6 linked regions of the Cricetulus griseus genome follow. The protein of the gene in region 5 interacts with the protein of the main gene of each other region in a pairwise test. Links are inferred from orthologs where the notes say so. Each region holds a gene or a part of one and is shown on either strand. Other genes may lie near its edges.

Region 1 (3,500 bases), on a different chromosome or scaffold from region 5:
GGCCATTCTTACTCAAACCATCATAGGTGCTGTCACTTAAAATGGTGTTATTATAGGAGTAAAAACCTTTAGATGTCCTTGTTCCCATAGAACTCATGTCTGTGTGTACATGTATATGTAATGCATTTGCTTAGTAGATAGAGAATAAAGAGGTAAGAAAAAAACTTAAGAATAACAGGAGACTCAGAGGTAAGCTCTGTGATCTCTTTGCAGAGCTGTTACTTAAATGCACTTTTGTGCAACACATACTCCAGTGCCAGAACATTTTTCTGAGGAAAAATGTCCTAAAAGACATCAAAATCTTGTCTTCCCTAGGTCACATATCCCTGACTCTGTGTAGACATGTTCCTCCCGTTGTCCTCAGCATCCTTTACCTGCTTTACATGTCAAGACCAGCATACGAATTTCCTCTTAAGGTTTCTAGCCATATGCTCTCACCATTGAGTGTGCACTGTTACAGTAGTACTCATTAGACTGGCTGTTATTAATTTGTTGTCTGAGTTAAGATCTGAACTTCAAGATGGGCGTTAGTGGCTCACACCTTTAATCCCAGCACTTGAAAGGCAGAGGCAGGCGGATCTCTGTGAGTTCAAGGCCAACCTGGTCTCCAGAGTGAGTTCCAGAGCAGGTTCCAAAGCAATATAAAGAAAAGATCTGAGCTTCTGTCTATGTACTTGCTACTTAGAGACAGCTTATTATGTCTGTGTTTGAAATGTGACTTTATTTCCTAAAATAATTTTGATTCCTAAAATAGTTCTTATAAAAGTAGATTATTTTTTGAAAAATCTATTTAGTGTTTTTATGAAAATGATTTAGATCAAGAATGCTGCCTTTTTGTCTTTGCTTTTTTTTTTTTCCTTCTATTTCTCCTCTCAATAACATTGAAATAACCATTGAATTAGAAAGTAACCAGAAGTCCCTGATCTTCAGAAGTGTTCCTTTGGTATTCAAAGATGACGCTGTGGACTAGTATTTCACTTTCTATCTTTCTATAGGATGATGCAAATAAAAATGGTGGCAAGTGGATCATTCGACTTCGGAAAGGCTTAGCATCCCGCTGTTGGGAGAATCTCATCCTGGCCATGTTGGGGGAGCAATTCATGGTTGGGGAGGAAATCTGCGGGGCTGTGGTCTCTGTCCGCTTTCAGGTAAGTCTACCCGGCCCAGTGTTCTTTCTTGTGTTGCCGCTGCTACTCTCATTGATGCTTCTGGTTGGTTTGATAATTCATTCTGTTCCTCCCTTAGGAGGACATTATTTCTATATGGAATAAGACCGCCAGTGACCAAGCAACCACAGCCCGAATCCGGGATACTCTTCGGCGCGTGCTTAACCTACCTCCCAACACCATTATGGAATACAAAACTCACACCGACAGCATCAAGTACGTGTTGGGGGGGTTGGGGGGGACAGGTCCCTGAGCTTAGCAGAAATAGCTCCATAGTTGGGCCCAGACGCATGTGGGCATACATGACCCTGACTTGTGGAGTAGGAACACACCAGCCCCTCCAGGGCTTTGGCCACTTGCTGAAGTTCTTGTTAGTGAGGACCTACTGTGAGGTGTTGTGGAGCAGAGAGCCCTTCTGCAGGATCCCAGTTTTCCTGCCTATGCTGGCTTCATTTTTACAGGCTGTCTTGTCTTTCCTATGCTAACCACTGCTTTAAAATGAAAGACAGAACTCTTTCAGTGGTTTTTTTTTTTTTTTTTTTTTTTTTTTTTTATGGCTGTTTTTAAAGACAATTTCATTAAATAATAAAATCCTCTTCCCTGCCCACCCTGACCCCACCTTTGCATGTCTGTTTAACCTGTTAGCTTTAGTCTGTCTTCTTTGTCTTCGGAGATTGACTTTTTATCAGAGATGGTGACTCCACTTTCTATATATAGAGTTGAAATCTAGAGGAAGCAGGGTAGATTGTGAGAGAGGAGAACAGAGGGAAGGTAGAGTCACAGTACAAAGAAACAATGAGTGCTTTCCACGTTGAGAATCCCTGGTGAGGGCTTGCTCCTTCAGTGACAGAGATGAGCTCAGGTCATTATGAATAGGTTATGGGAGTGGCTGCCAGATTGTCTCAAAGGTGGATGGAGAGCCAGCCAGCCAGGAGTCAGGTTTCTCTATGTGTATTGTCTCCTGTGGCCCTGAGTCAGTATGTGCCTTTGGCAAGTCTCTGCAGCTGTGCTTCAGTTTCTCCAGCTATAAGACAGGAGTACAGGAATAAATAGTAAGGTTGTGGTAAAGCTGGTTTAATCTTTGTAACTGAGGGTCCTCAGAGCAAGAAAGCTCTTACAGGACCAAATATTATTGCTGTCATCATTAGTACAATGTCATCATCATGGCATTCCTATTCAAGACTAACAGTGAGCCAGTAGTTGTGTTCATCAGCAGGCAGACTATATGAGACTCTCTTTCCCATGCATTCACATATAATGTTGTAGGTGGAGTTTGCTTATACCAGCTAGGTGCCAGTTAATAACTGGGAGTACTGCCATGGGAATTGGTGGCTGCCTCTGACTCACTGGAGCCACCAGCACTCATTTGCCATCTATGACCCTGGTTGCTTGTCTCAGCAATCCTGTATCAACATTATTTTTCTTAGAGTAGATCGGTCTTACTCTCTGCTTCAGGATAGAGGTAGTGTCTGCCCTCCTGCTAGGTTTAGTCCAAGCTCTAAAGGTCTACATCTTTCCCTAGGATTCTTGTTAGCTAGGTTCCCGTTTACCCTGGTTAGGAAAGGAAAGGGGTAGTTTTCATTCACTCCCCAGTGTTCTCCCTCTCTGATACCTGGAGGCAGTTCATCTTGACTTGTAAAGTCCCATGAGCAAGTCCTTCCAGGACCTAGGAGCCTCGGGACTCCTGCCCTGCAGCTGTAACGCCCTCCTCAAGACCCAGATGCCACTTTCCCTTGCTCCCCACTCTCTTTCCTCTCCCAATGAGCTACCTTTTGCACTTCCACTAGAATGCCAGGCAGGCTGGGCCCCCAAAGGCTCCTTTTTCAAAACCTCTGGAAGCCGCGATTGAATGTGCCATGACCCTCTCCCTCTCTGGATGGCACCATCATTGAAGCTGGCGTCATCGGAGTCTCTTGTTCTGTTGGCGTGCCACCTGGAAGACCCTTCTGTCCTGGACAAGAGGAACGGAAGAGCATGTTATGCTTTGAGAACAGGCTGACAGCAGCAGCTACAACAACAGCTGAGATCACAAATAAATGGTGCTAAACCAGCTTGTCTCATGCTCTTGCTCTTTATGGTGCATCAAGATGTGGCCTTTGGATTGACTGTCACCATTATCGAGGGATGGCACACAGACTTCTCCATGCAGGGCCATTCAGGGAATGCAGCTTCATATCCACAAGCCTATTGTGTAGTTATATGGTACTTTATTCCTGGACTCTTGCGGTCTGACATAATGAGGTGACATCTAGCTCTCAAAGTAAGCCCCTACTGCCTGGTGCTCAAGTGTACTAGTTCCCATCCAGTTAGACTGATGGCTGGCCCAGAGTGGTG
Region 2 (3,500 bases), on a different chromosome or scaffold from region 5:
GGCATGCCGGCTGCTGAATCCTCAGATTTGGCAAGGACTTTCTTATAGCTGTAGGCAAGGGGGGGGAGTGGTGGGAGTCTGTTATCCTGGAGCCTCAAGACATTTGCTGCTAAACCATGTAATCTCAGGCAGCAGTGATCTTTTTTATTTAAAAAAGAAAAAAAAGTATTGGTGGACGTTGGTGGGGTGCACCTTTAGTTCCAGCTCTCTGGAGGCAGAGGGAGGCAGATCTCTGAGTTTGAGGACTGCCAGGGCTACACAGAGAAACCCTGTTTCGAAAAAAACAAACAAAAGGGTATTATTTTATGTGTATGGGGTTTGGCCTGCATGTTTTATAGCATGTGTGTGCCCCATACTCTCAGAGAGTAGAAGAGAGCCTTGGACGCCCTGGAGCTGGAGTTACAGGTGGTTGTGAGTTGCCACCTGGGTGCTAGGAATTGGACCCGGGTTACATGTCACAGAGAGGCAATCTGCTGTTGCTTTTGAATGTATGGTTTATTGTCCACTTTAGGGAAAGTGAAAATAACTCACAGCAGATGAATCTGAATCTAACAATCTATCTCTAAATTGATGCCATGGATGTCTGGGTACCCACTCACAGTGGGTAGAGTTGGCATAAGCAGTTTGTAAGTACAGTGCACAGCAGGCTAGCCTGTCCACCACCAGGGAAAGGACAGTGGGTGAAAGCTAGCTGCTCATGTCCTCAGCTATGCTTAACCAGGTTAACCAGGATGCCTAACACTCAACGGTCACCAAGGTTATAGCTAGGCTAAGGCACAGGATCCTGGTGGGAAATCCATTCATTAGAAAGGGTCCCTTGTCACTAGAGTTCATGGCTCGTGTCCATTGAGGTACATTGGAGACCAGAGTGTGAGCTGCCTGAAGTTCATCTTTGTAGACTCTGGTCACTGCTTCTGGCTGCTGCAGGCCCCTGGTTCCAGGGCTTTACTGATTACACCCAGGCACTAGCTTCTGGGACTTTTTCTTTTCTTTCTTTCTTTTTTTTTTTGAGATAGGGTCTCCCTTTATGTAGCCCTGACTGTCCTGGAGCTCACTGTGTGGACCAAGCTGGCCTTGAACTCACAGAGATCTGCCTGCCTCTGCCTCCCAAGTGCTGGGATTAAAGGCTCGGACCACCATGCCCAGCTGATGCTATTTTCTGGTGTCAGCATGTTCTGATGTCAAGACTTTGAGCAGAAGTGCCTCCATCTTTATTTTTGGGGGGGGGGGCGTTTAAGTGTTCACTGCAGTTCTCTGGAAGAACAGCTAGTACTCATAATTACTGAGCCATCACTCTAGCCCCAAGGTGTTGCCCATCTCTTTATGGGCATTCAATGTGTGGTCTCCCCTCAGAACCTTCTGTGTGGTTATTAATGGGGTTATGATTGCTCTGACGCTTTCCGGCTCAGGCTTCGGCTTTGTGTTGGGGGTTTCTGGCCAGGGGCCTCGGGCTAGGCATGCCTGTCCTCACATTCCACCTGACCCCAGGCTCTCCTCTTCCCTCTTGGCCTCCAGGTGCGCTACAAGGAAGAGTTTGAGAAGAACAAGGGTAAAGGCTTCAGCGTGGTGGCAGACACACCCGAGCTGCAGAGAATCAAGAAGACCCAGGACCAGATCAGCAATGTGAGCTCCTGCCCGCTGTTACCCAAGCTACCCTCTGCCCTCCTCTCTTATCCGCTCCCTAGCATCCCTGCTTTGGTTCCTCAGGAGGGCCTGCTGTGTGGCAGTGGCTTGAATGGAGGGAAGGGAGAAGCTGAGGTTCCCAAGTGCCCTTTCTTTGTTCCCCTCTTTGCTAGGCATTCTGCCCAAGTGGTATTTCCTCCTTAAAGAGACTGCCCTTTTAGAGTGTGTGTGTGGAGGGAGGGAGGGAGGGAGGGAGGGAGAGAGAGAGAGAGAGAGAGAGAGAGAGAGAGAGAGAGAGAGAGAGAGAAGAACCTAGAGGTCCTGGACCACTCCTAAGGCTGGTCCAGAGTGTTATATGCATGGGGATGTTAAGTTACCTTCCACTCTCTAGAGTAGCCCCCTCTCCCCCCAGGCATGGTGGGGGGGGCAGGGTGCAGATTAGATGCTTGTTTTAGCACCAGGGTCAAAGCTGGGGCTGGGGTGGGGGGGTGGTTTGAGCCTCCTGTCTGCCTCTGGGTGCTAACACTGTAGTCATTTCCGCTCTCCCTCACCAACCTCCCACCTCAGCTTGCTCTTCCTTCCTGTGTGAAAACCCAGCTGGCGTTGCCCGCCGACCCTACCCTGCCTCCAGGCCTTCTCAGGCCGGAGCTGGGGCTGGCCATCGGTGTCTGTTGGGTGTTGGGTGTCTGGCTGTTAGATGGGTAGGCGTGAGGAGTGGGTGGTGAAGTGACAGTCTCTGTGTGGTCTTTCAGAGAAGCTGGGGCTAGAGGACAGGCCTCAGTTTCCTTCTTTGCACAGCCATAGCTTGTGTGTCTTTGGGCTTGCAGGGGCCTGATTTGGAATATGTGGGAGTAGACATCACAGAACATGGGTGCACACCTGAGCACAGAGCGTTAGAACATGCCCTATCAGCTGCAACAAGACTCCTGTAAATGAAGGGTGAGGCAGGCACTGTCCTCGTGTCTGTAACAGGAAAGGACCCACCAGTTGCCTATGTCACTCTGGGCTGAGGGACTAGGGATTGGGTGGATAGGATCCAGATTCAGATGGCCTACCTACGTCCCCACCCTCCAGGTTCCAGGTCCCTCAGTGTCCTGCCACTCTCATAAGCGAGTTGGGCTATGCCCCTGGTGAGTTATAGTGGAGGGTCAGGTAGATTCCATGAAAGGGGTCGGGGATAGAACCACCCCTGCCCAGGGGAATAGCTTTCAAATTCTGCCCTCTGTCTAGAAGAAACATTTTCTTTCTTCAGTGGTACATGCCTGCTCTTAGGAGTCTGAGGCAGGAGAGTCATGGATTCAGAGCCATTCTGGAGGTTGAGGCAAAGATCAAGAGGTTGAAGCCATTCTGGGCTCTATAATGAGCCCCTGTGTGAGACAAAGAAAATTTCTTGGAGGAGGACTAAGGATGTAGTTTCCCAGTGGAGCATTCACCCAGCATGCACCGGGCCCAGAGGAGGAAAGAAGGAAACCACTGTCGTGAATACGTGCTTTGGACTTGGAGAGCTCATTCAGATATTTTCTGTTCTTTCATAAAAAGAGCCAGGGATAGTCTGACCAAGTGGGTTTTGCAACACAGTCGTTGCACTGAAGTTTAAGATGAACGGCCTGAGGGAATGCACTGCTTCTCCTGGGCTGGAAGGTGATCCTCAGAAGCTTCAAACCCTGTCGGGCCCCCAGGAAACTTTCTTACAGTTGCCCTCTTCCAGCCTGGGCCTGACTCACACACCCTGGAGTTTCCTTTCTGGCTCAGACCACACAGAGGGTAAAAGGGTGTGTCAGAGAGCTCCCTAGATGGAGAGAAGGGAAGTGGTGTGACCTTGGGTGATTGGGAAACCATGGAATGGCTCACAGAGCTCCAATCATGTGACTTTGTGT
Region 3 (4,121 bases), on a different chromosome or scaffold from region 5:
GCCCTCTGATGCCCGTTCTCATTCTCTTTGCCTTGCAAAGCAAAAGTAGCCATATCCTCTTCTACTTCTAGTTCAACCTTGCATGTCTCCTCTGTCCTGTGTGTGCCTCAATCTTAGGCTTTTTTTTTTCTTTTGGCTTTTCGTGATAGGATCTCTCTGTATAGCTCTGGCTATCCTGGAACTTGCTCTATAGACTAGGCTGGCTTTAAACTCATGAAGATCCGTGCTTCTGCCTCCTGAGTGCTGAGATTAAAGGCGTGTGCCATCAACATCGGGCTCTATTTATGTTTAAAAGCCATCTAATAGTAAAGGCAACCTAGGCTCATTCCTGTTTATGATTAAATCTGTTTCTCAAAGATTGGGCTATGCCTCACCTGCAACCTTAACTACAAATGGCTCTGTACTGCCTGTTCCAGGAAGCGGCAACCATGCCTTTGTTTCAAAAAGTTGTTTATAACCATCTTGCAATCCTATCCTTGTTTCAAAGGTTGTTATGATTACCTGTTGCTATGACTACTTTATGACCACCCTGCAATCATGTATGTTTCAGGAGGTGGTTATGACTAGCTTCTTATGCTTATGTTCTGCTCCTGTAACCCCACCTATTTTCCCCCTTTTGGAAATCCCCTATCCCTAAACTATAAAAACTTTTGTCTTCCTCACATCTAATGCTGACCTCTTAAAGCTCACCTTAGGGGGAGGCAGCCTGTGTACACGAATAGAAAAGCTTGTTTTAATTAATTGCTCGCTTTAATTAATTTGGCCATGATGATTTGGGCCAGTGGTCTTTCTCCTTCCTCCTTTACCTGTACTTTCCAGGAAGTCTGGGGAACGTAATTGTTTCAGTGTTTGAGAACGAAGACAAAACTGTATAATAAGACAAACGTGTATTTTGCTGCAGTTGGCAGTACTGTTCTATACAGGTGTTATGATGCTGTTTGAAATCTTAAAAATTACATTTATTTATTGTGTGTGAGCACATGTGCCTGTTCGTGCCACCAAGGACATAGAGGGGAAAGGGGAAACTGCAGGAATTTGTGGGGCTTAGGGATCGAACTCAGGTCGTCAGGCAAAGGGGCAGCCTCTTAGGGGCCCTCAACTGTAGGTTCTTTCTCTCCTCCCCTCTCCTGTCCTCTCTCCTCTCTCTCCCCATTTCTCCCTCCCTCTTTCTTTCAGCTATGCTCCCTAAGTCCTCTTCTCCAGGTTCAACTTTAATTATTAGGATTTACTGTGGTAAGTGACATCATCTACCACTGACACAATTTTCGACTCTTCTGGTCTTGCCGCCAGGTCAGCAGAAAACGAATCTGCGTTTTGAGAATCGGCTTTTGGCTCGTTTTGCCTGAGGAAGTCGTCTGCGCGGTTGGGCTGCCTGGGAGCCACGTGATCTAAAGGGATGATGGCGGGCGCAGCAGAAGACGTGCGAACGCTCTTCGGAGCTGCTATCCGCGCGGCTCTGGAGGCTTGGCCTGCATTACAGGTGAGTGAGGCCACGGCGGGGGTCACAATTAGAGCTGGGGCAAAATAAGAGCTGGCAGGGCGAGGTGCCAGAGCCTCGGCTGGGCGGTGTAGGCGGCACACTCCCAGGCCATGGCAGGCCACGCCACTCTGATTTCCATGCTGTCATGGTTGGCTTGGGCCTGTGTTCACAGATCGCTGTGGAGAATGGCTTCGGGGGCGTACACACCCAGGAGAAGGCCGAATGGCTGGGGGGTGCAGTGGAGGATTACTTCATCGCCAATGGTGAGTGAGTGTGAGACATTGCTGTCTGTCTGTCTGGTTTTGGAGCGGCAGAGCCTCGTTCTGGGGAGCCCGCGCTTTCTCATGCCGAATGAATGGTGACGTTGGAATCAGACTCTTGCGTTTCGAGTGCGTTGCAAGCAATGACACTGCATAGTGCTATGATCCTGGACAACACATTTTTACCTTCCAGAGAGCCATTTTCTTAGTTCCTAAAATGGTTATGAAAAGATCTGGTTAATAGAACTCTTCGAGCCATATCATGTAGCTTGAAAAAAAAATGCTGTCTCGAAAAATACAAAAAAAACAAAAAAAATTGCTGGATCAGGGGAGGGAAAGATGGCGCCGTGGGCAAAGGCTGGCAAGCATAACAATTCGAATTTGATAGATGGGACCACGTGGAAGGAGATATGAGTCACTTAAGATGTCCTCTGACTACCCCTACACAAGTAAACGTAATTTAAAAATTGTTGTGTGGGAGTGTAGCCCAGTGGTAGAGCACTTTCCTAGCATGCTCATGTTTCTGGCTGCCATTCCTAGCACAACCAAAACCAACAGCAGTACCTCTAATAAAATAAAAGGCCAGACCCTGTGTTGCAGGCCTGTAAGTCTGAACAACTTCACCACGACCTTGTCTTACAATAAAAAATAGAGTTGGGGATATAAGCTTGTGGATGTGCTTACCAACTACTGTGAGACTCTAGGTTCAGTCCCCCCCTGCCACGAATGAATGAATAAGTAAATGAATGAAAGAAGCAAATATAATAGTATTAAATTCATAGCCAATCTAGCATATGGGCCATGTGATTCTAGCACTAGGGAGACTGAAGTAGGAGAACTGCTTTGAGTTTGAAGCCAGCCTTGGTTATATACCCAGAACTTGCCTTTAAAATAAAAAAGGGGCTAGAGAGATGCTTAGTTTCCTGTTTTTCCAGAGGACAGAAGTTAGGTTCCCAGCACACATGTCTGGCAGCTCACAAACTCCTGTAACTCCAGCTCCAGAGGATCCAAAGTCTTCTTCATCTGCACACATGTGCACCTATACATAATTAACAAATAAGTAAAATGCAGATGGAAAGATGGCTCAGCAGTTGTTCTTTCAAAGGACATGAGTTCAGTTCCCGGCATCCACATGTTGACTCATACCTGTCTATAACCCCAGTTCCAGGGGAATCTGACACTATCTTCTGTCCTCTGTGGGCACCAGGCATGCACATAGTGCACAGGCAAAATCCTCCTCCAAAATATTTCAATATGTCATAAGAATTAAGCATTTTACACATTTTTAGGATTAAATTTGACAGTCTGGAATTTTAAAGGTCTTAATGGGGGCACTTCTTAATTGAGACTAGCCACATTTCAAGTGCCTGTGCTCAGTGACCACACATGGCTACTTCTACAGCAAAGATCTACACCTTCCTTTTATCTTTGTGGGAAATTACAGAACAAAAGGACCTAGTGGGAATAGTACATGCTGTGGTTTTTATAAAATTCTCCATTGATATCCTAGTTTTACTGGATGATAAGTGTTATGATAAAGAGGTGCTCAGAATTCTTGAGTTATCTGAGCCTGAGGAGAAGCCTTTTGTTTTTTGTTGTATTTTGGTTTTTGAGACAGAGTTTCTCTGTGTGTCGCTGGCCTAGAACTCTGTAGACCAGGCTGGCAGCCTTTTTGGGGGAGGGGGGGCGGGGTCAGAGTAGTGATTGGGGTGGGTCTTAAGGAATGAAAAGGAGTAAACTAGCTAGAGACATAATGCACACTCAGAGGAGTTGAGGAGATAAGTGTTGTATTTTGAAAGGGCCAGCTGCATTGTAGTAAGGGAATGGAAGCGTGGTAGAGTATGAGTGTGTGTGTGCAAAGACACCCTAAAGTATAAGGGATGGGAGGCCTTGTGTGCCTTTGATTATATCCTTTAGGCCAGTGTTTATAAAATTCAAGCTATAGAAGACTTGTCCACTTAAGATATTCAATGCAGAAAAGGTTTCTCCAGTCAAATTACATAAGCTTTTTTCCCCAGCTGATATTTTAGTAGTAGTAGTAGTAATTGGAGACAGTATCTCCTTTTATAGTCCAGGCTGTTGTGGAATTTATGTTCCTCCTGCTTCATTTTCTTGAGTGCAGGGATTGCAGGTGTGTGCCAATGATCCTCGCTTTGTTTTCCATTAGCTTTCTATGAAAATCCTCATTAAAACTCAGCAAAATTGAGCTGGGGATGTAGCTCAGTTGGTAGACTACTTGCCTAACATGTAAGAAGCCCTGGTTTCAATCCCCAGAGCCACATTAACCAGGCATGGTGATTCATGCTTGTAATCTTAGCATCTAGAAGATGAAGGCAGGGGGATCACCAGTCACTAGGAGTTCTAGGCTACCCTTGAGCTAC
Region 4 (3,500 bases), on a different chromosome or scaffold from region 5:
TGCATCAAAGTCAAATGCTAACGTCTTTCAGATTGTCACATCCTGTCTATGTCCTTAAAACAGTTAAACTGCATCTGTGATGGGGAAATAGCCATCTGACCTTAAACTTTTGAAAGAAATCAAGTGTGCAGTGGCTTTAGGAGGCAGTTCTAGTCTTGGAGGGGGGGGCAATAGCAGCTTCAAGGATAGCACTCCCGGGCTGCAGTGTCCTGCATGGGTGAGGCCACAGCCCTGACATCCATCCTCCTTTCTCTTCCACTTGCCCCCCTCCCCCCAACATGTTCTCTTCCTGTCCTCTCTTCTATCCACACTGTCTTCTTTCGTCATCCATGAATAACACCAACTGTAGACTGCACAGGTCTCCTCATCTTCCTCGGCCTCCCCTGCCCTGAGGACTGGGCTAATGTATTGAATAACTAAGTGATGGCTGTAGCTCCTGGTTCTCCAAAGGAGCAGGGTGAGGAGGAGCCACACACTGCTAACCCCTGTCTGCATGCTGTGCTGGAAAGTGCTCTTTACGTCCTACAAGATGGTGTTCTCTTAAAGCCCTTCTCACAGCTACAAGTACTTAATATTTGTGTATTCGAGTCATGGTCTTGGCATTTGGCTGAGAAAAACGGGATGAGCCTGCAGAAGCCCATGGTGCTACCCAGGCCGTTCACTGGCTGCCTTGGAGGATGCTCAGCACACGACTGTCATGCTCTGTGTTCTTCTGTAATGGTCATATGTTATAAGCTCCGGCAGGTTCTCCATCTAACTCTCTTAGGTGTACATTTTTGCCATAACGGTTCATTCTTGAGATGGCAACCCTTTTTAGACCACATTTTGTGGTAGTGAGTTTTGGTAACTAATTTGTTGTATTTTTGCCTGATTTTTTAAACCATTTTATTGGATCATTTGATAAAATTACAGAACCATAAGGTTCTAGTAACTAACTCAAGGTCACAGAGATTGTTCCTTTGTTTTGTTTTATTTTCCTAGAAAATTTTATATGTTAGGAGTTCAGTAGAATGATGATTCATTTGGAGGTGCGTGCTTCACAAGGGACAGTTCATTTACTTAGTACCTGTGTATACAGTTATTCCATGTCCTTTTGGGGAAAAAGACTTCCTCCCCCCCACCTCCCCCGGTTGACTGTCTTCCCTCCTGTCCTGAAAATCAGTTCACTCTATTGAAAGAATTTACCAATGAACTTTCAATTATCTTCTGTCACCAATCATTGCATCATATTGCTTCCCACCTGCTATGTATTTTAAAGATTTTGTAGCCCCGTGGTGGTGACACACACCTTTCATCCCAGCACTTGGGAGGCAGAGGCAGACAGATCTCAATGAGTTTGAGATCAGCCTAGTCAGGACGGTTACACAGAGAAATCCTGTCTGGAATCCCCCCCTCAAAAATGGTTTTGTCATTGTTAAGAAAAGAAAGTGAATATTTTTGAATATATGATATTAACTAAGAACTGGCATATTTGGACCAACAGATTAATATTTAATCTACTATAAAGTTGTCTTGACCGCAGAATAAAAAGAGAATGTACATTTCATGCCTGGATTAGTAGCTTAATACTTTAGATCTTCTAAATTTTACTTATGGTCTGAAATTACTAAGATAGCAGATATGGGAATTAGTGTTTCCTTAAATAATAACACAGAGTGTCTAGTTGGGTCATTGGAACCATGCACTATTGTTCAGCTGTGGTGGGGTCCTGTTGCCTTTGTATTATACTTGCAGTGCTCTGATCTTTTGCAATTCCTTTTAGATAAACCCATAGAACCCCGCAGAATCTTAAATAAGCCAGTTCCAAGCTTGCCCAACATGGACAGAATTTTCGCAGAAGCCATCACCAAAGTACGAAAGCAGTTCCCTGGCCGGTTGGCTCCAGAGACTTGTGTCCGTTCAGTCCAGGCCTCTGTGAAGCACCCCTATGAAGTGGGCATTAAGGAAGAAGAAAAGCTGTTTATGTACCTTCGGGCATCGGGACAGGCTAGAGCCCTGCAGTATGCCTTTTTTGCTGAAAAGTCTGCAAATAAGTGGTCCACTCCCTCTGGAGCATCTTGGAAAACAGCGTCTGCTCAGCCAGTCTCCTCAGTTGGAGTTCTTGGTAAGTACATTCTTCACACCTGTGTATTTCTTTTCATCAATTGAGAATTTCATACATGTGAAATTTGGATCAAGTCCCCTCCCTTGTTCCTTTTCCTTCAATTTCCCCCATAGCCTCCTCCCACCACTGTTTTCCCCAATTCCATGTGTTCTCACTCTTTTTTTAAATCACAGAGGTTTCTTAGTGCTGCTAGTATGTGCATGGGTGTGAGGCCATGTACTGTGACACGGGTAGCCTCTTGGGAGGGTGGGCTCATCCTTAAAGAAAGCCGACTCTCCCTCTGCCAACAGCCATCAATGGCCAATAGCCCCTCATCTGGGGGTCGCACTTCCTGCCCCTCCCCCTTTATGTTGGGATTTTTGTCTGCTTGATCTTGTGCAGGACTTGTGTGCACTGTCAGACAGGTTGTCAGTTCATATGCACAACTGCACTGTTGTGTACAAAAACCACAGCACACTTCAAATGTCACTCGCTTGGGGCTATTAAGTTCTTTGTTGAACTTAGTGCTCATGTTAGCTCTTGTTAATTCATGTACTTGCCAGAATACATGAACTCTCTCCATCCTGAGGGTCAGCCCTAGGGATCTTTCAACAGTAGCAGTCCTGTGCCCACATGGGCCGTAAGCCCAGAGTTAATTTTAGACTCTCAGTCGACTCCATCTGCCTTGAATACTTCAGTTCTGTCAGAACCATTGAAATCATTTTTTAAAACAGTGTTTTGACTCTCCTAGGCTTCTTGCATTTCTGTATGAATTGTAGAATCCACTGTTAATTTATGCAAAAAAACATGATGGCACAGAGTTTGCATTGGTTTTACAGATCAGTTTGATATTTCATCTTACCAATATTAAATTTTTCCTTGTTTGTGAACAGTGGATGTCTTTTGACTTACTTAGGTCTTCTTTGATTCCTTTTCTTTCTTTCCCTCCCTCTCCCCCTTTCCTTCCTTCCTTCTTTCTTTATTTTTTTCTTGTTATCAATGTTAGGTGTCAAACTCAGGGCCTTGTGCATGCTAGGCAAGCACTTTAACACCGAGAACTAAATACCCTGGCCATTCTTTAATTTTTTTCAATAGTGTTTCATTAGTTCTAGTCCAGAAGTCCTCTTTGTTAAGTGTATCCCTTTCAGTGTATTATTCTTTTTGGTGTTATTGTAGGTAGAATTATTTTCTTATTTTCATACAGATTGTTCATTGCTAATCTGCGGGGATGTATTTGGGGCTGGAGAAATAGCTCATCAGTTAAGATACCTGTTTGAAACATCAGGATTTAGACCCCAGCACCCATGTAACCCCAGCTCCAAGGGGGACAAAGGCAGGAGGGTCACTGGGGCTTGCTGGCTTCCAGACTAGGTTAAAATACACAAGTACCCACCCTCTTAAGAAAGAGGACCCTGTT
Region 5 (4,141 bases):
CGACCTTTTGTATGGACAGCTCTCCTTCAGCCTAACCCTCTACACCCACCCAGCCGGGGCCAAATTTATACTTCTATAAATGTTGTAAATATGTGAAATTTTATCCCGTGCCCTCCCTCCCCTCTGCTTACCCCACTTGAGGCCCTACCCGGTCCCTCCGCCCTCCTCTTTGGCTGTTGTAATTATCTGGGGTTTGTACTGTACATAACCGGGGTGGGGGCTGGGAGGCGACCCCTCTGTACAGAGCTTCCCGGCTCCCGGCCCGCCCCTCTCTCCCGCCTCCAGCCACCTTAAGAGTAGGGAGCCGCTCTTCTTACTCGTTTTGTTTCCTTTGTTTACTCGTTCTCACCGCCCTCCTCCCAGCCCCGTCGCCCCTCGCCCACTCCCGGCCCCTTTCCTTTTTTTCTGGAGTGTGTGGTGAAACAAAACTCATGTTTAATAAACGGAGATTGTTCTTTTATCGCTGGACTGACTTTTTTTTTAAAGATTTATTATGTAGACAACATTCTGCTTCCATGTATGTCTCACTGCACACCAGAAGAGGGCAGCAGATCTCATAACGGATGGTGTGAGCCACCATGTGGTTGCTGGGAATTGAACTCAGGTCCTCTGGAAGAGCAGTCAGTGCTCAACCTCTGAGCCATCTCTCCAGCCGGGGACTGACTTTCATTTATTTAGTTGTCGAGACAGGGATTCTCTGTGTAGCTTTGGAGCCTCTCCTGGCACTCGCTCTGTAGACCAGGCTGGCCTGGAACTCACAGAGACCCGCCTGCCTCTGCCTCCCGAGTGCTGGGACTAAAGTGGGCGCCTCCTCGCCCGGCACCGGAGTCCTGGAAGCGCTGAGGGAGTGGCCGGCGCTGCTCGGGAGAAGGCTGTCAGCCCGCGGCGGGCGGGCTCACCCAGGCGTGAGTGCGGACAGCGCACAGCGGCCGAGCGCCCACTCGGCTCTCGCCCAAGCCGCCGTCTGCGCGAAGCTCTCCGGAGGGGACGCCTCTGCGGGACGCGGCCGAGACCCGCGGTCCTGGGCGAGCGCGCGCCGCAGACTTCCGGTCCGGCCGCCCCGCGTGCACACCGCGGACGGCGCACCCACCTCGCCCTTCCCGCCGCCGCCGCCGCCGCTCCCCGACGGTCCCAGCCCTGCCCCCGGCGGCACAGCCAATAAGAAGGGGGCTTGTAGGCTGCCGTCCTTCCATTGGCTGCAGCCCGGCTCCGCCCCGCCCCCCCCCGCCCGCGCGCCTGGCTGCAGCGGTCCGGCGGAGCGGCGGCGGCTTCCGGCCGAGCAGACGCAGCGGAGGCCGGGCGAGCGGCGAGCGGCGAGGTGAGGCGGGCGTGCGGTGGGGGCGTGCCGGCGGGAGGGCGCGGCGGACGGCCTGTGTGAGCGCGGCGAGGCGGGCGGCGACCGGCCGGCCCGCAGTCGCGCCCGGCTGCCGCGGGGCCTGGAGGTGAACACCCGGCGCCGCTTCTCTCGCTGGGGCGCGGGACGGAGGCGCGGCGGCCGCTGGACACGGGCGCCTGGCCCGAACCTGGGTGACCCGCTCTCTCCTCCTCCTCCCAGCCTTGGGTCCGCGGAGCCCCGCAGGCCCCCGACGCCCTGCGCCTTCTCTCCCCGAGGTGGCCATGGATGCGGCGACGCTGCCTCCCACGCCGCCCTCTCCCCGGGGCAACCCAGCCTCTCGGACCATCCACATCGAGTTCCCTCATCACAGCTCCTCGCTGCTGGAGTCCCTGAACCGCCACAGGCTGGAGGGCAAGTTCTGTGATGTGTCCCTCCTGGTTCAGGGCAGGGAGCTCAGGGCTCACAAGGCGGTGTTGGCCGCTGCCTCGCCTTACTTCCACGACAAGCTGCTTTTGGGGGATGCGCCCCGACTCACTTTGCCGAGTGTCATCGAGGCAGACGCCTTCGAGGGACTCCTTCAGCTCATTTACTCGGGGCGCCTCCGCCTGCCGCTCGATGCTCTCCCTGCCCATCTCCTTGTCGCCAGTGGCCTGCAGATGTGGCAGGTGGTGGACCAGTGCTCGGAGATTCTTCGAGAACTAGAGACATCGGGTGGTGGTGGAGTCTCGGCTGGCGGAGGAGCCTCCTACCACACAGTTCTTTCCACAACCTCTCCGGGAGGCTGGTGCATCCGGTCCTCCCCTTTCCAGAGCACAGCGCGGTCCTCTGCTCCCACAGAGAGCTCGGCTTCTACTGAGAGCCCCGTGGGAGGGGAGGGGAGCAAAGTGGAAGAAGGAGTGTTAGAGATTCAGGTGAAGGAGGAGGAGGACGAGCAGGGGTCAGCAGCCCCGCTCTTCCAGACTCCTCAGCCTCAGAGAGTATCCGGAGGGTTTCCCCACGCCTGTGCACCCCACCCACTGCCCACATCTGCTCTTCCCAGCAAGCCTCCGGAGGAGGAGAATTCAGCCCTTGAGCCTCCTGCCCCTCCTGGCCGAGCTTCCCAGGTCTTGTATGTCAATCAGGAAGCCCTTGAGTCTAAGGAGGAGACATCAGGAAGTAGGACTCGGTCTGGAGGAACAAAGGAGAAGACCAAAGCCGTTTCTGAAGGGGACTCTGAGGGAAATGGGGAACTAAGATACTTGCTGTCCTCAGGAGGAGGGGAAACCTCTGGAGCAGGGGATCCACCCTGGAAGCCAGTGGATCTTCACGGGAACGAAATCCTGTCAGGGGGCGGGGGGCCTGGAGGCTCGGGGCAAGCTGTGCATGGGCCTGTGAAGCTGGGAGGGACGCCCCCCGCAGATGGGAAATGCTTTGGGTGCTTGTGTGGAAAACGGTTTGCAGTAAAGCCGAAGCGGGACCGCCACATCATGTTGACCTTCAGCCTTCGCCCTTTTGGATGTGGCGTCTGTAATAAACGCTTCAAGTTGAAGCACCATCTGACAGAGCACATGAAGACCCACGCTAGAGCTCTGCATGCCTGTCCCAACTGTGGCCGTCGGTTTCGCGTCCATGCCTTTTACCTGCGCCACCGCGACCTGTGCAAGGGCCAGGGCTGGGCCACTGCCCACTGGACTTACAAATGACTGCTAATGCTGTATACTGACTTCTAGGATAAGACATAGCCGCTGCTGCTGCTGCTGGATTCTTACCCTTCACCACCTCAGTCCTGGATCGTGTAGCCATCCCAAGAGATGAGATACGTTATGAGCCCCTTACTGTTGGCTATGGGCCTCACCCTCGTGTGCTCGGAAGTTCAGGGTTCTCAGTTCAGCTGTTTGTTAAGCAGACTCTAGGAAAGTCATACTTTTGATCACTTAAGCTATGTGGCCCTCTTTGTTTTGATAGCCAGTGAGGAAACCATTGACTTCAGATGAAGTTAGTGAGAGAAGAGTTGGAACAAAATGACCTAGTAACTTTTACTTCACCTTCACCAGGAGGTAAGGGAGCTGGTCTCCAACTAGAAACGTGTTTGATTCAGAGCTCAACCAATTGCCAGACTGAACTCCATGAGTGCCCCCACCCACCCACCCACCCACACACACACACACACACTCGGCAGTGCGCTGTTTCTTTCTAGAAGCTTTTAGATTGTACTTTGCCTTCTTACCAGTAGACACCTTCCAAAATATTCTTTTAAAAATGTACTTAAGCCAGGTGACGGTGGTGGCGCACGCCTTTAATCCCAGCACTTGGGAGGCAGAGGCAGGCAGATCTCTGTGAGTTCAAGACCAGCCTGGTCTACAAGAGCAAATTCCAGGACAGTCTCCAAAGCCACAGAGAAACCCTGTCTTGGGGGGAAAAAAAAAATGTACTTGAGCCTGCAACAAGTGTGGTTACTCACACATTTAATCCCAACACTGGGGAGCAGAGTTAGGCGGATCTCTGTGAGCTCCAGACCAACCTGGGTAGCATAGTTTCAGCATAACAAGTTTCAGGCCAGTCAGGGCTACACAGTGAGACCTGGTCTTTTTAAAGAAAAAAGTACTTGAGCACTTTAACATATCAAGCATTTCATATGTAATTGCAGAACCCTAAGAGGATATTCCCGCAACAGCCTTTGCTCTTTCTTGTCTAGACTACCACTGACAACTTGCTTATGATCACAATGACAGATGTGACCAGTGAACTCAGGAGATGGCAACTGACCTAAAACGCTCTCAGGGTAGCGCTGTTGCTCTCTGAACAAATTGCCCTGATCTGAAGGAC
Region 6 (3,500 bases), on a different chromosome or scaffold from region 5:
GTAATGTTGCTAGAATGTGTTATTTTTTTTTAATTTTGTGTGTGTGTGTGTGTGTGTGTGTGTGTGTGTGTGTGTGTGTGTATGTTCACACTATAGTTCATGGAGGTCACAGGGTAACTTTTAAGAGTCTGTTCTTTCTTTCTGCCGTGTGAGTTCCAGATACGGAAGCTCAGGTCCTCAAGGTTTGCACAATTGTCTTTACTCGATGAGCCATGGAGTCTACCTCAGCCTTGACTCCCTGAGCTGTGGAGGATGGCCTGGCCTTGACTCCCTGAGCTGTGGAGGATGCCCTGGCCTTGACTCCCTGAGCTGTGGACCCTGCTCCAGTTCTTAGAACTTGGAATTAGTTACAGGTTCTGAGAGGCAGAATAGTAATCCTATTTCAGGGAGAGAAAATATTTTGTGCAAAATTAATGTAGTTACTAGCTTCTGAAAGAAAGACCTTGGTGTTTTGATACAGATACAGTAAAAATTGATTTTCTTGATTGAATTTAGTATAACACAAATCAGCTTCTTTTAATAAGTAATGGCCATCATGTGAATTTTAAAATATGTCCAGATATATGCATACATAAGTATTCTTTTACTGTCCGTAAAGATGAATTGTTCCAGAATTGCTGTAGTTTTCTTGTATGTACACGTGTTAATGAAAAGCTGTTTTGTTTTTTTTTTTTTTTGTTGTTGTTGTTTTTATGAAAAGCTGGTTTATTTAATGGAAAGAATACTAGACTAAAAATTGGAAAATCTGTTTTTTTAAAAAATGACTTATTTTATGTTCATTGGTGTTTTGCCTGCATGTATATCTGTGTTAGGTGTCAGATCTCTTGGAACTAGAATTACAGAGGAGGAGTGAGAGGAGGAGGAGTCGTCTCAGGTCTGAAGCAAACCCTATGTGAGCTGCCATGTGGGTTCTGGGAATTGAACCTGGGTCCTCTGAAAGTGGAGCCAGTGCTCTTAACCACTTAGCCATCTTTCCAGCCTGAAAAATCTGTCTTAAAAGACTGAGTTTTACTATTTATTATAAACAAGTGACTCTAGCAAGTCATTTTACATTGATAACTTAAAAACTCTTAAAAACCCTTCTCCTATACATAAATAAAACTTTTGAAAGGGGGATGGGTGAGTGGAGGGATGACTCAGAGGTTAAGAGCACTGGCTGCTTTTCCAGAGGTCCCGAGTTCAATTTCTAACACCTACCTGGTGGCTCATAACCATCTATAACATCAAATCCCATAGGTTCTGATAACTTCTGGTGTGCAGATGTACATGCAGATAAAACACGTGTATATATATAAATACATAAATTTTAAAAAATAATTAAATATCCTGCCAGGTTGTGGGTGTGGTGGCAGACACCTAAGAGATGGGGAGATCTCTGTGAATTCAAGGGCCAGCCTAGTCTACATACCAAGTTTCATGCTAGCCAGGGCTACATAGTGAGACCGTATTTCAATTTAAAAAAGACTTATTAAATCTTAAATTCTTGTACCAACTTGGATTGCAGCCATGTTTCTTTCATTGTCATTTTCCAAGGCATTAATTTTTAATTTATGCACGATGCTCCATTAGTACTTCATGAAGTCACTTTGATGGGCTATAGCATTTCTCTGTGTAGCCCTGGCTGTCCTGGAACTCACTCTGTAGACCAGGCTGGCCTCAAACTCAGAGAGATATGCCTGCTTCTTCCTCCCAAGTGCTGGGATTAAAGGTGTAGGCCACCCCTCCCTGCTGAGTTTCTTTCTTTCTTTTTTCTTTTCTTTTTTTTTGTTTTTGAGACAGGGTTTCTCTGTATTACTTTGGAGGCTGTCCTGGAACTCTCTCTGTAGACCAGACTGGCCTTGAACTCACAGAGATCCCCCTGTCTCTGTCTCCTGAGTACTGGGATTAAAGGTGTTCGCCACCAACACCCAGTGCTGAGCTTCTTTAAGCTTAAAAAAATTAGTTGATAAGTTTAAGTATCCAGTTGTGAGGTGACACTGTCCTTTAAAATTTTTGACAGTTTATTTTCTTTGGTTTAGTTCATCTCGTTGATATCTGGAACATGATTGAAGCTTTCCGAGACAATGGCCTTAACACACTAGACCATACCACTGAGATCAGTGTGTCCCGCCTTGAGACCGTCATCTCCTCCATCTACTATCAGTTGAACAAGCGCCTTCCTTCTACTCACCAAATCAGCGTGGAACAGTCCATCAGTCTCCTCCTCAACTTTATGATTGCCGCGTATGACAGGCTAGTACTCATATGCTCACTTTTAAATCCTGCCCATCTCTTCATCGACACCCCCCCCCCCACTGCATTGCTAACTTTTGCCAGCTTAGAGCCACAGTGGAGGTGAGTTACTCAGTGTAAGTCCTTCCTACCTTCTGGACAGTCTCTGCTGTCCTCTGGTGTGCCACAGATGGAGCTGTGTAATAGGTAGGGAATCACCCACTTGAGTCAGATTGCCTGGTAAAATGATAGGCACTTTAGCAGACTTGTTCCCTCTCCCACAATTACGAAATGCTTAAGCTTTGAACCTGCTGATATGGCTTTCTAGTTGACTTTAAGGCTAATATTTCTTTACTCTGTAACACCAAACGGCTTTAGACTCATGTTTTCTCTTAAACAACTAAGAATCTATTTCAGACTTTTTCAGTTTTGATACACTGTGTGGTAAACTTTACAACAAGGAGCAAGAGACCACTTTAGTGTATCACAATTAAAATGGAAAGGATTTGCTCTATAAAAAACAAAACAGAAGCAAACCAAACAAATCCTAAAGGATGGACTGTGGAGAACTGGTTCTGCTCCAAGAGCCAAGAGTTCCTGTTTCTTCCCACTGCTGTTCTTCTGATCATTGGATTTGGATGAATAAATTCTCTTGCTTCATTGTTTCTCTATAGATTTATGCTGAGTTTATACATTTGTAAAATGGTATTAGTTGTGGTAGCAAAAATTCTGTGTATTAGTGAGGAAATATAGATGTGTCAAAGCCAGGTCACATTTTAGGCTTTCCCAAGATTCATAATGTGTTTATGTTACCAAGTTAGATATTTTACCCATTTGGTAAAAATTATTTAAAGAAATTTGAATTTTAAAAAGTTCCCAAATCTTAAAATCATTTAAAAATAGGGTTATGGATTAAGTTAATCTTGTACTCTTTAAGAATCAACTCTTGCAATCCAAAACCCTTGACAGAAATTATTATTCTTTGTGACCAAGTAGCATTTTACCATGGTCCTAATCCCAGGGGCATAGCCACTTCCAGGCTTACACAACATAAATCAGTTCAAAAATCAATTTTTAAAAATGTAGTAATAGGCCAGGCAGTGGTGGCTCACACCTTTAGTCCCAGCACTTGGTAGGCAGAGGCAGGAAGATCTCTGTGAGTTCGAGACCAGCCTGGTCTACAAGAGCTAGTTCCAGGACAGCCTCCAAAGCCACAGAGAAACCCTGTCTGGAAAAACAAACAAACAAACAAAAAACAACAAAAAATGTAGTAATAAAAATTACCTTAC

Evidence for each region.
Region 1: the proteins of Zbtb9 (region 5) and Eif4e2 interact in binary tests that used the Homo sapiens proteins (3 or more experiments, as listed by UniProt). The two-hybrid records come from large-scale screens. The link is inferred for Cricetulus griseus from reciprocal best matches to the Homo sapiens genes ZBTB9 and EIF4E2.
Region 2: the proteins of Zbtb9 (region 5) and Lasp1 interact in binary tests that used the Homo sapiens proteins (3 or more experiments, as listed by UniProt). The two-hybrid records come from large-scale screens. The link is inferred for Cricetulus griseus from reciprocal best matches to the Homo sapiens genes ZBTB9 and LASP1.
Region 3: the proteins of Zbtb9 (region 5) and Tsr2 interact in binary tests that used the Homo sapiens proteins (3 or more experiments, as listed by UniProt). The two-hybrid records come from large-scale screens. The link is inferred for Cricetulus griseus from reciprocal best matches to the Homo sapiens genes ZBTB9 and TSR2.
Region 4: the proteins of Zbtb9 (region 5) and Ehhadh interact in binary tests that used the Homo sapiens proteins (3 or more experiments, as listed by UniProt). The two-hybrid records come from large-scale screens. The link is inferred for Cricetulus griseus from reciprocal best matches to the Homo sapiens genes ZBTB9 and EHHADH.
Region 6: the proteins of Zbtb9 (region 5) and Dtnb interact in binary tests that used the Homo sapiens proteins (3 or more experiments, as listed by UniProt). The two-hybrid records come from large-scale screens. The link is inferred for Cricetulus griseus from reciprocal best matches to the Homo sapiens genes ZBTB9 and DTNB.

What each region holds. Positions count from the first base shown.
Region 1 is NC_048595.1:438,873,390-438,876,889, forward strand, and holds the end of Eif4e2 (eukaryotic translation initiation factor 4E type 2), read left to right. Parts: intron 1-995; coding exon 996-1,148; intron 1,149-1,245; coding exon 1,246-1,382; intron 1,383-2,953; coding exon 2,954-3,026; 3' UTR 3,027-3,216; downstream 3,217-3,500. UniProt on the Homo sapiens protein: Recognizes and binds the 7-methylguanosine-containing mRNA cap during an early step in the initiation. Acts as a repressor of translation initiation.
Region 2 is NC_048600.1:110,966,742-110,970,241, forward strand, and holds part of Lasp1 (LIM and SH3 domain protein 1), read left to right. Parts: intron 1-1,515; coding exon 1,516-1,623; intron 1,624-3,500. UniProt on the Homo sapiens protein: Plays an important role in the regulation of dynamic actin-based, cytoskeletal activities.
Region 3 is NC_048604.1:108,371,190-108,375,310, forward strand, and holds the start of Tsr2 (pre-rRNA-processing protein TSR2 homolog), read left to right. Parts: upstream 1-1,321; 5' UTR 1,322-1,396; coding exon 1,397-1,480; intron 1,481-1,652; coding exon 1,653-1,743; intron 1,744-4,121. UniProt on the Homo sapiens protein: May be involved in 20S pre-rRNA processing.
Region 4 is NC_048597.1:67,170,130-67,173,629, forward strand, and holds part of Ehhadh (peroxisomal bifunctional enzyme), read left to right. Parts: intron 1-1,762; coding exon 1,763-2,104; intron 2,105-3,500. UniProt on the Homo sapiens protein: Peroxisomal trifunctional enzyme possessing 2-enoyl-CoA hydratase, 3-hydroxyacyl-CoA dehydrogenase, and delta 3, delta 2-enoyl-CoA isomerase activities. Catalyzes two of the four reactions of the long chain fatty acids peroxisomal beta-oxidation pathway.
Region 5 is NW_023276806.1:232,169,860-232,174,000, forward strand, and holds the start of Zbtb9 (zinc finger and BTB domain-containing protein 9), read left to right. Parts: upstream 1-1,341; 5' UTR 1,342-1,617; coding exon 1,618-3,018; 3' UTR 3,019-4,141. UniProt on the Homo sapiens protein: May be involved in transcriptional regulation.
Region 6 is NC_048600.1:14,491,897-14,495,396, forward strand, and holds part of Dtnb (dystrobrevin beta), read left to right. Parts: intron 1-2,018; coding exon 2,019-2,232; intron 2,233-3,500.